Linked DNA regions of Xenopus tropicalis. The protein of the gene in region 3 interacts with the protein of the main gene of each other region in a pairwise test. Links are inferred from orthologs where the notes say so. Each region holds a gene or a part of one and is shown on either strand. Other genes may lie near its edges.

Region 1 (4,241 bases), on a different chromosome or scaffold from region 3:
AAGTGTGTTGGTGAATGCAATGTTGTCGGTTTGTGTTGACTTTGCTTCCCTAGCTCTATTACTAAAAGGCAATGCATATAATAATGTACCAATTACATGAACGTGGTTATGTGCGAAATAACAGCCATTACTTTTCCGACTATTAAAAATTAGTTACAGTGCTCAAAAATTCACTGCAATGCTGTATTAAAGGAGCGCTGCCATACTATACTGCAATACAAGAATCCATGAATCAATAGGCCTGTTTTTTTGTAAATAGCTGTTCCAGTGACGCAGTTTGCAAAAGAGGGACTGGGGTTTCAGTTGCTTACATTAATAAGAAGCACTATAACAATCATTATACACAAATGTATACGTATTACTTTATATCCTGCATTAACCAAAATGTGCCTATGATAATAGGGCAAATTAATGAATGTAAAAGGCTCTGTCTCATAGTCAAATGATATATTATACAGATCACTATATGACATTAGGAGAGGTTTATGCCACATTTGTCACTTCATTTATTTAGCCAGACAGTCTCAAAGCAGGATATTGTACAGGTTGTTGGCCTACTGATCTGAACAAGAGGACTCATCCACAGTAATCCCCTGATATAGCACCTCTATCTGTTTTCCTCAGTACGCATTTCCTGCGTTGTAAAAAAAAAAAAAGAAATGCAGCCTGCCTCGCAATCTCCAGAGATGCATCAAAAATCCAATTCCAAATTCTGATTCTGAATAACCTCTACATTAAAGGGACTTCCATGTACACAAATGCCATCTGTTTCCTTTGCATCATGTTTTATGTATGTAAACACATGAGCGCCCTTTGATTAATGAGTGGAATGGGAGAATCTATTGTAATATACTTCATTTACAGGTCAATAATTTATATGATTATGCTACAGCTACGTTCTACTCAACTCACTAACATTAACGTATTCAGCTGTATTTATCAGCAAATGAATATCCGACAGTCTAAACAAACCTGCAGTACAGAGGTGTTAATAAAACAAGTGAAGAGCATAGAATTAAATATACAGTATATATACACTTTTAACAGGTATACAAATGTCATTGTAATAGCCTTTATCCTGATAGAACACGAGATATAGACCAATCTAGGAGTTTTGTTCTTGCAATGCAAGATACCCGTAACCAGATATCCAAATGTACTGTAATAGCAGTTCAACCAAATCCAACATTATTTGTATTTTTCCCTTGCTACGTGCTGCCATGGTCTGTGCTACAGCAGTGCCCAACTCAGTCCTTGGGAGCTGGCTGAAAAGGTGCATTGGGGTGGGGTCTCTCTGTTTTACAGTCATTCCACAACACATCGCTTTGCATGATGAAACTGCACCATTTGCTATAATATTACTATCAGGGACAGGTGGCAATCTGCTGCAAAATAGATCATTACTGGGTTTCACTGTCAGATGCATTGATTGATCACTGATCATGTGACCAAGTAATACATATCTTATTTATCAGTGAAATGAGATGGGTATAAGACACAAACAAGCTAATAACTGCAGTGCAATTGCTTCTGATAAATATTCTCTTAGGGCGCAGGTTAGTTTTGCCTGTAGAAGTCCCCTGCCGCCCATCTGAGCAGCTACAATGTCTGTGTAAAGGTGAAGCAGCTCTACAAACAATTCCAGCAGCCCTGAATGTGTTCCTCTGCCACTAGGGATGTAAGTCTAGCAGTGCCCTGCCTCCCTCCCTTCTTCAGCTAGAATGCAGATCCCCTCCCCCTCGCTTTCTCTCTAGTGGGTAACAAAACCAGCAGTAATTACTAATGCCCCTGCACGTAAATCTAACAGCTTCAAAGCCTGCCTTTTGACGCAAGTACGCAGAACTGTCTGGACGTGTCACCATTCCCACCCCCCCATTAGTCTTTGAAGTTCTAAGCTCTTCATATAAAAATATATACCTTTACATATGAATTTAATATGAAACATGCGAACATACACTGCACACCTTTATATCCCACACATGAGATATGCAACCTATGCCCCCAACATGCTGTTGTGAAGTTACAAGGCTGTTGGGAGTTTCAGAGTAAGTTGTAGTTCAACAACAGCTGTTTGGACATATCAGATACATATACACTATATCTATCTGTCATTGATCTATCTATCTAGCATGTACCCATCTATCCAGTATCTAACTACACCTTGTTGGAGGTCAGGAACGCGTATACATTCTATAAAGTATGGCAGCTAATGTTAGCAGTGCCCCTGGCACTATCTGATCATAATAATCGCAGCCAGAAGCCCACAAATCTGCTGTGGGGTAAGGTATAGGCTGGAGGCGAGTAAATCCCTTCCCTACAGTACAGCGTGTCGGTGCCAGACGCTGCGGCAGGGAGCGGGCGTTTTTGCTGCACTCACTCTGCAGTAGAGCGCTGTCCGCCGAGCTGCGGTGCTGAAACCGCCCACAAGCACAGTCTATGGGGCTGCTCTCACGTCTATTCCTACAGAGCCGAGCGCTGTGCCCAAAGGGACGCGGAAAAGCCCGATTTCCTTGCGACAAACGCCAAGGATGATTAAATCCCTTGCAGCCTGTGCAACACGAAAATAAATTTGTTCAAAAGCGAGATTAAAAATAACAAAAAAAAAAACGCCGCCTTCCATTCGACTGACAGCCCCAGACCTGATTTGTAGACACATACAACAATCGCAATCTTGGGCTAAAGGTTGGATAAATAGTAATGCAATAGGAAAACGTAGAAGCGACAAGCAGTGGTAGTCTTACCGTGAGTAGGGCGTAACCAGACTCTAAGGCTACTCTACAACCTTATTTGAAGGCAGTATTTGCAGGGAGGTAAGAACCACCGTTCCTGACCTCCTCAAGTCGTCTTCTTCAATGGAACTGAGCTCTGCCCTCATCAAAGATGGCCGTCCTTCTTGACGTCAGCAGCTTTTAATAGACATCTATCATGGGGCGGAGGGATCGGGCTGGGGGAGCTTGAGTCATCGTCTGCCTTACAGTGCTGCAATCCTTCGCATTTTAATATATGCGCCTTGATTTTCGCGCATCGCCCCCTCCCTGACAATGCTGCCGTATAACGGCTCCAAGATGGATTCTTTGCGACTAATGAGCTGCGGGATAGATTGGCTGTACAATGTGAGGGTGGGGGTGCGGCTGGGTGCCTTGCTCTGGGCTAATGCAGCACGGATTTCTTTTCGCCAAAGGGGTGGTGCAAAGGGATATCCCTCTCTGGTGGGTGCTCCTTATATGGGAAACCTACGTGGGCAGCCTGGCTATACTGGCGCTATAAGAGATTTCCTAGGATGCTGCGACTGAATGGGGGGGGGGGGGGGGGGATGCAGGTATAAACACTGGGTTTAGTCATCACTTATAACAGGTTCTAGCATTTCTAGCCAAATTACTTGCTGAGCTTTAGTTACCTTTTAGGTTTAGATCTTCAGACTAATTTCAAGTGGGAAGGGCTGTACTGATCATATAGGCACCCAAGGGCTCTTGCCTAGGGCTGCAGCGTCAGGGGGGCATCTCACAGGTACCTATATTAAGGAATACAGTCATGGGAAAACATGTTGTTTTAAAAAAAGCATTAGCTTCTCCAGCAGGATCCTGCATTGAAATCCATTTTTCAAAAACACATATTTTTTTATATTTCATTTTGAAATTTCACATTGGGCTAGCCATATTCTTCATTTCCCAGGGTGCCACAGCCATGTGACCTGTGCTCTGATAAACTTCAGTCACACTTTACTGCTGCGCCCCAAGTTGGAGTGATATCCCCCCCCCCCGAAGCCGATCAGCAGAACAATGGGAAGGGAACAAGATAGCAGCTCCCGGTATCAGAATAGCACTCAATAGTAAGGAATCCAAGTCCGGCTTGGGACTCCTCCAGTTACATGGGAGTAGGAGAAACAATAGGTTACCTGAAAGCAGTTATAATGTGTAGCGCTGGCTACATCTGAAAGCTCAGACTCTCTGCACTGAGATGGCGCCTACACACCAATATTACAGCTGAAAAAAATACATTTGTTGGTTCAAGAATAAAATTTTAAATGGTGGAGTGAATTATTAGCTATGTAAACTGTGTAATTTAGAAAGTACCCCATAAAAATCATGACAGAATCCCTTTAAATTAAAAAAAAATGAAACATTTCCTTAGTTGTTTTATAATCCTGTAGCGGAACTGAGGGGGAGGAGGGTACCCATTGTTTCCAATCCCTTCCCGAATGGCACATACGCACATACGTTAATAATTAGAACCTGCCCTGT
Region 2 (4,196 bases), about 130 Mb from region 3:
ATAGTACTCTCTGCAATATGGTGGGGATTATATGAACCCTTTCTGGGGAGAAGCATTTACTTGTGAGCCTTACATTACTCCTCATTATTATTAACATGTATTTATAAAGGGCCAACATATTCCACAGTGCTGTACAATAAATGGGTGTACACATTGACCATACAGAATTACATACAAACAACCAATAATTCATACAAGATGTGAAGAGAGCCCTGTCCAACACACAGGAAACATACTGCTCCATGCTGGCACAGACAGTAATGCCATATCCAGTATATACATACATGGTTCTGTGATGCCCAAATAAGTACTAAGTATGGCTACTTTCATTGGATTCTGTATAATGTCTCCAGCCCCTATTTACTTCTCTTTCCTGACACTGTACTACAGTCACATGCGATAACACAGGATAAGGTTAATGTGAACAGTGTAAAATATACAATATTTTGATTCATGCTGCATAGACATGATATATGTTTGTGTTTTAAAACAGGAGAAAGCAAACTGAGGGCTGTTCTAAAAATGGATTTTTCTGATATCCAAATGGCTTGTTCTTGTGACCTTGGAAAGGCCACGTCACCTTTTCTTATCTAATAAATGAGATCATCAGGGGCAGGGTATTGACAAATCCATAAATTGTTTGTGTCACCAAATAATTAGACCAAACCACTGAACCTTAACATTACTATATATATATTTGGCTTTACTAAACTGATACCACTGCAAAACACATTTTTGCTATTTAGTGTATAGGATGGTGCAGGCAGATTGAAGGTGCAGACAACAAGGAACCAGCAGTGATGACAACATCACATACATTATATGAGGTCACGAATGTCAATATGGATTCCAAGCACACTGACAGAAAGCTGTAGCAAGTAAGAAGAAAACTACAAACAAACATCAGACGACAGAGCTAAGATATAATAAGAACTATAAATGAAATACTTTTAACAATATTTTGAGAATAGGAAGATGTTAAGAGTTAAAAAAGAAAGCAGAGATAGAAAGATGACGAGACAGAGAGGGAGATAAACAGAACAGATATATGGAACAGATATGATGGATGGATGAAGGATAGATGATAGATAGATAGATACTAGTTATATAGATAGATAGATAGATAGATAGATAGATAGATAGATAGATAGATAGATAATAGGTAGATAGACAGGCAGATAGATACACAGAAGGATAGATAACAGATGATAGATTGATAGATGGATGATAGATGATAGATAGATAGATAGATAGATAGATAGATAGATAGATGATAGATAGATGATGATGATAGATAGATAGATAGATAGATAGATAGATGATAGATAGATGATAGATAGATAGATAGATAGATAGATAGATAGATAGGCAGACAGATAGATACACAGAGGGATAAATATATAGATAGGTCGATAGATGATAGATAGATAGATAGATAGATAGATAGATAGATAGATAGATAATGGATAGATAGATAGATAGATAGATAGATAGGCAGACAGATACACAGAGGGATAGATAGATGATTGATGATAGATAGATAAATAGATTGATAGATAGATGATAGATAGATAGATAGATAGATAGATAGATAGATAGATAGATAGATAGGCAGACAGATAGATACACAGAGGGATAAATATATAGATAGGTCGATAGATGATAGATAGATAGATAGATAGATAGATAATAGGTAGATAGACAGGCAGATAGATACACAGAAGGATAGATAACAGATGATAGATTGATAGATGGATGGATGATAGATAGATAGATAGATAGATAGATGATAGATAGATAGATAGATAGATAGATGATAGATGATAGATGATAGATAGAGGAACAGATAGAAGGACAGAAGTGAGAGGCAAGAGACATACTGAATGATAAATATGTGCAATATAATCCAATCAGTAAGGTGAAACTTTGGCACTGCCATTGAGGGGAGTGGTGACTTCTTAAATGCAATAAACAATTAGATGTTATAGCACAACACAATACAAAGGATCAGTCCATCGCACACTGCTTATTATACATAAATAGGGGTCTTTAAAATCTAAGAAGGCAAATAAGTAGAACCATGTTTATTTATAATGGGGAGCAAGCAGATGGTTTACAAGGGACCAATGAGATGAGGCATAGCAATAGCGCAATGCAGCCCCCCTAAAGGGAGGGGGGGATAAGATTGTGCGGAGCCAGCCCCAACTGTACTAGGAACACAGCCGTAAAGCCAGGATGCCTTGCCACACCCTACCCACAATGGACACCCAGCAACCTGCTCCAGGGAGGGGCCGTGGGTTCCACTGTACAAGCGGCTGAATGGAGCAGGAATGCCCCGAACATTGTGCCTTATAGAATACACAGATGGGGGTGTAGGGTGCAGACATGTCCATCCCCCATAGCGGGGTTCGTGTGGCCCCCCGATGTAGAATAGAGACGATCCGATGCTTGCGTGCAATCAGCCAATCAGTATGAGGCTGGGCTCAGTAATACACAGGCACAAACACTTACCCCAACGATGACAGTGTCCCCGCCTTGGAATATGGGCAGGAATTTGTCTCCTCTCTGCACCTCCGACTGGTTCAGGGGCCGAAACCTGCACAGGACCTTGATGCTGCACTCAGTGTTAATGCTGTTATCAGCCATGATGGGGGGGCAGGGAAGCTGTGCGGCAGGGAATGTGTTAGAGCTGTGGGTGATGCTGCTGGCAATGCTCGGCCGGTCACTGATGGAGATCAGGCGAGGCTCTGACTATTCCCAAGGTGCAGATGCAAGAGGCTGGCTAGGGTGTCCAGCCGGTACAATGGGCTCCTCTGCATGCAGCCTGCCTTACTGATAGTGCTGAGCCCCCTGTGCTGAGCCCCCTGTGCCTCGCTAGAGATGGAGGACGCGCTGCTGCTGCTGCTGCTGCTCAGGATGGTTCTGCAGTGATGTGACCAGCAGAGCTTTCCCGGAGTCAGTGCTGCAGCCTCTGCTAACGCTGCTTAATCATTCACTACGTCTGAGCAGCCCTTAAGGGGGTCTGTTCTCTCTTAAGGTGGAAATTGCAGCAGGACCAGTACAGGAGCCTGGGAGTCTGTAAATAAGCACTTTACTGATTGGTCGATGGCTGTCTCGGCACTGATGGGAAATCAGCATGCACGCCTCTGTTTATTTCCCATCTACAAGAATAACCTCAGCTGGGCATTGTATATTTACCCACCCAGGCACAGACATGCACCTTTTTTTTTTATAGGAGCCAGCATCAGTGTCATTAGAGTCATAAAACCATTTGGTTCTTTTTTTTCTTAATCTGGAGTTAAAAGGTCACTTTTTCCTAATGATGTTAGTGACATCTGTTCCCAAAACTGAAATATAATATATATATATATATATTTTTTTTTTTTTTTTTTAATGTACCCCCTATGGCCCACTCTGCTGCCAGGATTAATCTGCAAGTATCCCGCAGCAGCAGAAAAGGTTTTTTTCCAGATATGTTATTTTAACGTATAAGCACCCAAGGACCACCCCCCAACCTAAAGCTACCACCCTAGGCACAGGCCCACAAGTGCATATATAGTAAATATGGCCCCCTTACAGCACTGAGCACTATCACTTGTCAAGATCCTTGCTCACCCATGCAAAGTGCATGTGGGAAGATGGACAAATATTTTCTGTTTTGGAACCGTTTTAGCACAGAGAATAAATAGTTAAATCTGAAATGAAATTGTTATAGCAAATGCATTCCTTACCCCTCCCCATGCACCATATCATAACATATTCTCAGTTGTAATGAGATCAAGGCTTTGACTGAGAAGTTGTAGGTCATTCTTTTTTTGTTCTTTAAGCCTTGTGTTAATAATCATCATACCACTGAAATATTAAAGGACAAAATAAGGCATCTTTTCATGATAGAACCCCTGCAGAGGCCCCCCATCCCAAAACACCCCATCCCCAATCCCCATTACTGCCTAATTTGCTGTACTACATGAAAAATAGGCAATGGTTTCCAGTACCTTGCACCGTCCATTCATCCTTCTGTTATACCAAGATGCCCAGCAAGGTACTTACAGCAGTTTACATCACTCTAGGCATATTCTTTTTTTAGTTGTGGGTATCATTAGGTTTGGGCAACACTTACTGCTTTAAACTGTGCATTTGTAGCAGGCCTGGACTGAGATTTAAAAGACCTTGGCATTTCAAGGACACAAAGGACC
Region 3 (4,244 bases):
TACAATCTGTCCCAGACTGCGGGTATCTAAAGCGATAACCAGCTGAAGTAAAAACTCATCACATTCTAAAAACAGGAAAAACCCATCACACTCTAATAACAGGATGCAACTTACATGTTTTTATCTGTCCCTGACGATTGGCAAAAGGTCGGAACACGAATGGTTAGTAGCGAGACTATTTCGAAATACGACCGTACAATGATCTCTAATGTTGGTAGTACACCAAATTACTCAGCACAGCCAACAGCAATGAAAGGACAAGCAATGAATGAATAGGAGTACAAGCCAGAATAGGGTGGGTCGTTCCTCACAGAGGATCCCTTCATAGGGAGAATGAGAAAGTGTACGAAGCCCAGATACCACGATTGCTCTGAAACATTAGCTGCTTGCGTCATGTCTCCTAATCCAGCGCTGCACGTTATCACTAGGAAGGAGGCAATATAAAAACCTGCCAAAGCTGTGATGGGAGCGGTGACCTACAAACATGGGGGGGTGGGGTCACTGTGTAAGGGGGTGAGACTTCCCATATAGCCAAGCCTTTTCATCATTTATCAAACATTAGAGCTTCCACAACAGTGAGGAAAAACTAGCACAAGTGCCCCCCAACCTGCTCACAAGAGCTTACACTCTAGAGCACAGAAATTCCCCTAGGGCTAACCATCTAGGTGCAAGTACAGGTATGGGACCTGCTATCCAGAATGCTCAGGACCTGGGGTTTTGCGGATAAGGGATCTTTCCATAATTTGGATCTCCGTAACTTAAATCTCCTAAACATCATTTAAATATTGAATAAACCCAATAGGGCTGTTCTGCCCCAATAAGGGGTAATTATATCTTAGTTGGGATCAAGTACAGGTACTGTTTTATTATTACAGAGAAAAGGGAATCATTTAACCATTAAATAAACCCAATAGGGCTGTTCTGCCTCAATAAGGGGTAAATATATCTTAGTTGGGATCAAGTACAGGTACTGTTTTATTATTACAGAGAAAAGGGAATCATTTAACCATTAAATAAACCCAATAGGGCTGTTCTGCCCCCAATAAGGGGTAATTATATCTTAGTTGGGATCAAGTACAGGTACTGTTTTATTATTACAGAGAAAAGGGAATCATTTAACCATTAAATAAACCCAATAGGGCTGTTCTGCCCCAATAAGGGGTAATTATATCTTAGTTGGGATCAAGTACAGGTACTGTTTTATTATTACAGAGAAAAGGGAATCATTTAACCATTAAATAAACCCAATAGGGCTGTTCTGCCCCCAATAAGGGGTAATTATATCTTAGTTGGGATCAAGTACAGGTACTGTTTTATTATTACAGAGAAAAGGGAATCATTTAACCATTAAATAAACCCAATAGGGCTGTTCTGCCCCCAATAAGGGGTAAATATATCTTAGTTGGGATCAAGTACAGGTACTGTTTTATTATTACAGAGAAAAGGGAAATCATTTATAAAAATTAGAATTATTTGTTTATAATGGAGTATATGGGCAATGGCCTTTCCATAATTTGGAACTTTCTGGATAACAGGTTTCCGGATAAGGGATCCCATACCTGTACATTGGCTGAAAATCAAAGTGCTGAGACTAAATGACACCTTAGAAGGCAACAGATTCCTAAAAAATGAATACCTGGGAAACGCACTTCAAACAGAAATTGGACCGCCCTTACCAGGAGGAAGGATAGATAGATATAGATCATTTTTACATTACAATTCATGATAAATATGGCACTGCTACTTAATTTAAATTCCATCTAAAATCCAAATAATAATGACAAACTGAAATTTAGGAAACACATATTTTTAGCTATAATGCCTATTGCCCTGATCCTGTATACATACATACATAGCAGTAAGCCATATTTGTTCAGAGAGGTGCCCCTCTATATGACGGTTTATATATACAAAGAAAACCATGGGGTCTCAATGCCTATGTAAGTCAATGTACTGGCCCCCTATAGAAGCATTACAAGGACCTTGGGTCAATAAAATGTGTTTATATCTTTTGTAGTTATTATTAGTTGAAGAATATGCAGTTGTAAGTAGGTTTCCACTTTATGTTAAAGCTCAAAGTTTTGAGTAAATGTAATTGCTTTTCAGGCAACATTTATGTGTTTAGCCTTGACTTGTGAAACAGTGTTGCAATGTCACATCTGCCCAGGGTTCTGCTACATTGTTTCAGGAGTCAGAAACACAAGGCATATAGACAGAAGGATGCTGCTGTTGGTAGCAGATACATTGTATTAATGAATTGGTAGATGGCTATGCCATTCTCCCTTGGGTGGAGCCCCCCAGCCAGCACTGCTTGTCTCCCTAGAGTGCTCCCCTATGTTGGTTTATTCCATTGCAGGACATCAGCATGGGGAAATCACTGACATACAGAATTGCAAGCATTGCCATGTAATTAACTGAATCCCCAAATCCCATGTTGGCCGCCCAACTCCATATCCCTCAGCCATTTGCCGAGCCATTGGTGGCTGCAGCTGTTCCACCCCGCACATAATCCAGGCAAAGCATTAATCATATTTAATGGTGATAATAATGCGCCCCGGCACAGCTCTCACCTCATAGCGGTCCTCCACCCTCTCCTCTGCCACAGGGATTAGCACCGGCTATGTCCAATACGGCTCCCCTCTCAGACAGCTCGGCTGTATGGCAACATGCCCTCTGCTTCAGCGCCCCTCCTCCCCTTACTACTCTCCCAATGCCCGTGTCCGTACGACTCTCCCCTTGTGCCTGTAGTACAGTGCGGATCCCCTCACCCCGCACCGCCGTCCCCTCCCACCAATACTACGCACCCACACCACCAACCCGCTTTCTGACGTCACGCGGTGCCGGCCCAATCAAAAACAAGGAAAGACACGCCTATTCTGTAGCTTCAACCAATAGTATGCCGCGTTCTTTTTCTCCCTGCCATTCAATGGGTGTGGTGTCGTCATCACGCCAGCGAACTCCTCACATGACTCACACCGCTGGTGTCTACGGCGGCCATTAGCCTTGAGGGCGCTAACACTTAAACCTTTATGTGAGGGGTAAAGCATAGCATGTGACAAAGACAGATTGGAAACATTAATCCAGAGATAGGGTTGGGCAGAAAGGACGTTATAAGGAGCTTCCAGCCTCGGGAAGGCTATAGATACATGTCTATGAAGATTTTCATTCATCCAGGTCATGGTATATCTAGTATAAATAAATTTGAAGCAACTGAGAACTAAACAAGTCCAGTTGCTTCAAATTTATTTATGCTATAGATACATATTACCTATTCTTTAGTTGAGCAACTGTGGATTATGCAGGGTGCGATTGATTCATTTATGTAAACCACTTTGCTCAGACACAGATAAGGGTAAAGACACACGGAGATACTTAGTAGCAGCTACTAAACTCCAGAAAATACCCTGCCATAGACAATACTGAGAATTGCCTCTGCTAAAACACATGTAGAGACAATTATCAGTAAATGATCAGCATTGTCTGTTTTAGTAGCCGTGACAAGTAGCTGCTACTAGTAGCTCCGTGTGTCTTTGCCCTAAAGGGGCCCAAGACATTTTGCATTTTTACCCTTCACTCAGGAGCTTTGCACTGACTATGAAAGCAATACTTCAGCAATAAGGTTTCAAAGAGCTTTATTGAAACCAAGTTCATAGTAAATTCATAATTAACATTTGTTTCACAGAACATAAAAACATAAAATCATGAATCACAACACAGTTTTTATAAAAAGATACAGAGTACAATAAAAAAAAATACTTCAGAAATAAGGGATACAGAAAGAATGCGTTAGATTGGCAAGACAGATGTTGAGGTTAATATGCCAGGCCTTAAGATGGCTGCCGTAGCTATGCGTCACATGACAATGATGCGGGGGGACTCTGCAGAAGGGGCGCTGCTGAGCAGGGTCAGGGTGGGTTGTGCCGTCTGGCTCTGATTCTCCTCTGTTCCATAGATCCCAGGCGCAGGGAGAATTGGGGGGATCTTATAGCGTAGGGGTGTTAGGTTGAATAATGGAATGAAGGCGTTGTGGAAGGATGTTGGCTGTGTGAACATTATAAGGTCAGGGCAAGAAAGCTGTGTTCTGTGAGTAACAGGCCTGTACAGAATCACAGACTCATGATAGGCATTATGGGGATTGGACTCTTGGCTGGAAAATGCCTGGATACCCCTACGTTGTTTAATGGTACAGCTTAACAATAGAGGGAATAGCGAGGGTCAGAAAGACCACTTTTTAAAAGCAAATG
Region 4 (3,951 bases), on a different chromosome or scaffold from region 3:
GTTTAATCTGGCAAATTGTCAAATTCAGATTTTTAGCAGTTTAAATACATAGTAAATCTTGGAAAAGTTGCAGCGTTTTTTCTCTGCAACTTTTTCGAAAAAATTTCGAAAAGTTTAAAATTAAATATCGATGGTTAGTAAATGAGTCCACTAGTGTAGTGTTGCTGTACACAGGTAAAAGTTGTATTTTTGCTTTATAAATGTTACTATAATTTATATACAGTAAATACACAGCTGTGTAGCCATGGGGGCAGCCATTCAAGCTGGAAAAAAGGAGAAAAGGCACAGGTTACATTGCAGGTAATAGATACAATACCATTGTATTCTATAGAGCCCATCTGTTAACTGCTATGTAACCTTTGCCTTATCTGCTTTTTTTCAAGCTTGAATGGCTGCCCCCATGGCTACACAGCTGGGTATTTATATAAACTATAGTAGTGTTTATTAGGCAAACACACCCATGTTACCAGTGCAGGGCCACAGTACATTATATTTTGATTGTTTTAAAACACTCATATTTTGTTTGCTGCTGATTCTTAAAACAACTAATATCCCTGGGATAACAAATGTCTACTTTAGATAGAAACAGGCTTATTGTGCTGGGATTTGCATTGGTCAATCCCGTTCTGCATTTGCCCAGCCTGGGGCACAAATTAGTGAGCTGGGTAACTCTTGTTCTTCAGTAGATCCTACAGTTTAGGTTAACCACAGCTGAATATACTATAGCCAGTCAGCCTAACGTCTTGGCTTGTAGCAGCAATTCCAGTAAATTGCAGAGACATCAACACAGGAACACTGATTCTTTCTGGGAACAAAAAGAATCAGCAGAAAAAGCATTTCCTATGCTTCTAGCTTCTCTAGGTTTGCTTTGATTTATAATAGGCCAGAAAAATCCATGGCAAGAAAAATTGGTTTATGACTCATTTGTTTATATTGCATTTACCCTACAATCAAATGGTTAATTTTCTCCACTAGGATTCAATATGAACCCACAGCTCAAGTAGTACATCGGGTAAGGTTACCAAGTTTTTAAAGTGACATCTGGGAACAGGTATGGAGGTGAGGTGCATGTATTATTTTATGCTATGCATAGCAATTACTATTGCTATAAGAAAGTGCTATGTGTAGCATGAAATCCATAGGGCTGAGCTTATGTTGAAATACACAGAATAAATATACTTTGTTATCACAAGCCTGGAGTAGGGTGGATTTTGTGGGGTGCCTACCTATATCCAATTTGTGGGTCCATTTTATGTTTCAGTTTACATAGGCAGTTAAGCATAAAATCCTCTGTAACACTGACCCTATCCTATTTTGGTACACCATGGATTAAACTATGAATTGTGTCTTTTTAGCATTCCAGCAGGGGCCTCTAAAATGTCTTTGCTGCCATATAAACATCTGTTTAGGAATAAAAGGATTTATTTAAGTTATGCAAATGATTACACTATTTAGTCCCTGAGTTTGTTGGCAGCTCAGTCGACATTTGTCCCCAGTGATTTAGTCTTTTAGCTGACTGCTGAAATACTACCATTACATGTGTTTGGCAAAAGAGCAGATAGACTAGGTCACTTGGGTATAACGCACAGAACACCTGGGTCTTAACACATTTTAAAAGCTATACTCTAAGAGCTAAATTCCCTAAATTGTCTCAATAGTCCTGAGATAAAAAAAACCATTGGTAATTAGTAGGTGTGGATTATAATAAATTCAATTTGGGCAGCAGCCCTAAGAGAATTCAGTTTCTCCATTTTGTTATAAAACCTGGGCAAAAGACAACCAATCAAATAAAAACAAGCCAAGAAACAGGAGCTCCTACCTGCAGGTACTGACATGGTCGCTCTTGTGGTTGAGTCATTGATTCAGATTTAACTAGAGCTTGGTCCATATTTATAGCAGGTTTCTGATAGACCTCCCGTGCCCTGCTTACTGTTAGTGAAGATGCCCAAGAACTTTTCTTTAACATCTGACTATCCAAACTCACAGGTAGATTCGTACAAGTGTTGCATTTCACATCATTATTGCTTCGTGATGACTTTAATGCATGATCGTTAATTGTATTGTATGCTTCCATAAAATACTGGGAAGTGGAACGATCAGGGCATCTCCCCATAGTCATGACAGTAGATGGACCGTGGTAGATGCAAACATCATTGTCTAAGTTATCCTGTGACCCCCACCATCCTTGTATATTAGCCCTAGGTTTTACTTCTGCTCTCCTTTCTTTGCTCTTACTACGTTTTCCATATCTCACAGTCTGCATTTCATCTGAATTAGCTTTGTTTCCATTGGCATTTCCTTTCATTGGACCCTCAAGGGAATGGGATTTAGTGAAGAGTCTTTGAACTGAATGGACTAAATGGCGGATCCTCCCAGGACTATCACTGCGGTGTTCAACTGCACTTCTTTTGTATTGCAACGTATGATACCCATCACGATTAATGGGAATTTGTCTTTCAAACTGATCCAAGAGAGATGAAGGAAGGCGGTTGCCTTTTCCAACTGATCCATGGGGAACTAGAGCACAATCATCTTTAATGTCATGGTGGGAACTATAATGTCTTCTGGGAAATGTACTGCTGGCAATCTGGTCCCCATAGGATATCATATGATCTACTGGATAGGAGTTCCTTTGAGCATAGTATGGGTGATCTGCAGGGTGAGGATCCACGGGATTCAGCAAATATGGCTTTCTATCTGTGTGATGAGGCAGAGTTTCACATACTGAATCACATACAACCCCATGATGATGGCTGCGGCTGCTCGATAATCCCTTCATTGTTGTTTTTAAGAATACTGCTAAGTCATTGACTATTGATGTTGGTTGATGAGCAGAACTTTACTTTATTCCTGAAAAATAAGAAACAAATGAGCAATTCTGACTATTTAACAGATTTTATAATACATATATATTACAATATTGCTATTTTATATTAGCAAAAAAGGGGAACTTGTGCTCCCCACTAAATATTAAAGCATTAAGCAGGTCCAATGAAGCTGTGACCACAAAGTTCATATAGACAGAAACAACAGGTCCTCAATACTTACCTATTATCTATATACTGTATATACATATACTACATTCTGAAGAAATTACCTTCTCTTTAAACAAAAAAGGGATTGTTAGTCCATTAACTGTAAAATATTCAAGCTGTCAACTCTGTCAAAGTCATCCCTGGTCTGGCCAGTCCTACACTCACTTTCACCTGATTCATTAAGAATTCTATGGCTTCATTATACATTTTACACAGAGTTTTACATGCAAGTTGCTTGCTTTCAAGGAAAAAACTTCTAAATAGTTGCTCTTTTATTGGCCACCATTGGGATCACCTGACTGTAGCTGGGAAGGATGGGCGCTACAATAATATCTGTCTATATGAATTTTGTGATCACATCCTCAGTGCACTTAATGGTTTAAAATTTAGTGCAGAGCATGACCTTATATATATATATAATATATATACACACAATTATTTTTAATATCATTCCTTTAGCTGTGCATGCCAAGTGTCATTCAGATATTTGCAGTTCTATATAAATATGCATACAATTGTTATCTATATATAGCAATATATACAGTAGCAGATATCAAAGAACAAAAAGCAGATATTTCTGCATAATTGCTGTAGATACAGACGTGCAACTGCAGTTTAGTTTACATTCTTTTTTATAAAATAAGATAATTATTATGGATTTTGAATTTGAAACTTAACTTGCAAATTAATTGAACTATTACTGTACTTGACTATGCCCCCTCTCCCCCCCAAAAATAGAAAAAAAAACAAAGGGAAAAAACCTTTCACACTTGTAATGATCCAGCTGTAGGCTAAAATGATGCAGATAAGCAAAGCTCCATGTTGCAGATAAGCTGATTCAAAACAAAACTCATTCTTTAGTACACTGTTTAATAGCTCAGACTCATTGGGTCATATTTATCAAAGAGGGAAAATA

Evidence for each region.
Region 1: the proteins of itsn1 (region 3) and snap25 interact in a two-hybrid assay, tested with the Homo sapiens proteins (2 studies listed by BioGRID and IntAct). The link is inferred for Xenopus tropicalis from reciprocal best matches to the Homo sapiens genes ITSN1 and SNAP25.
Region 2: the proteins of itsn1 (region 3) and kif5a interact in a two-hybrid assay, tested with the Homo sapiens proteins (2 studies listed by BioGRID and IntAct). The link is inferred for Xenopus tropicalis from reciprocal best matches to the Homo sapiens genes ITSN1 and KIF5A.
Region 4: the proteins of itsn1 (region 3) and dlgap1 interact in a two-hybrid assay, tested with the Homo sapiens proteins (2 studies listed by BioGRID and IntAct). The link is inferred for Xenopus tropicalis from reciprocal best matches to the Homo sapiens genes ITSN1 and DLGAP1.

The regions. Positions count from the first base shown.
Region 1 is NC_030681.2:26,669,151-26,673,391, reverse strand, and holds the start of snap25 (synaptosomal-associated protein 25), read right to left. Parts: upstream 2,810-4,241; 5' UTR 2,742-2,809; intron 1-2,741.
Region 2 is NC_030678.2:140,672,470-140,676,665, reverse strand, and holds the start of kif5a (kinesin heavy chain), read right to left. Parts: upstream 2,810-4,196; 5' UTR 2,647-2,809; coding exon 2,512-2,646; intron 1-2,511. UniProt on the Homo sapiens protein: Microtubule-dependent motor required for slow axonal transport of neurofilament proteins (NFH, NFM and NFL). Can induce formation of neurite-like membrane protrusions in non-neuronal cells in a ZFYVE27-dependent manner.
Region 3 is NC_030678.2:14,137,930-14,142,173, reverse strand, and holds the start of itsn1 (intersectin-1), read right to left. Parts: upstream 2,805-4,244; 5' UTR 2,571-2,804; intron 1-2,570. UniProt on the Homo sapiens protein: Adapter protein that provides a link between the endocytic membrane traffic and the actin assembly machinery. Acts as a guanine nucleotide exchange factor (GEF) for CDC42, and thereby stimulates actin nucleation mediated by WASL and the ARP2/3 complex.
Region 4 is NC_030682.2:106,711,740-106,715,690, reverse strand, and holds the start of dlgap1 (disks large-associated protein 1), read right to left. Parts: upstream 2,810-3,951; 5' UTR 2,780-2,809; coding exon 1,820-2,779; intron 1-1,819. UniProt on the Homo sapiens protein: Part of the postsynaptic scaffold in neuronal cells.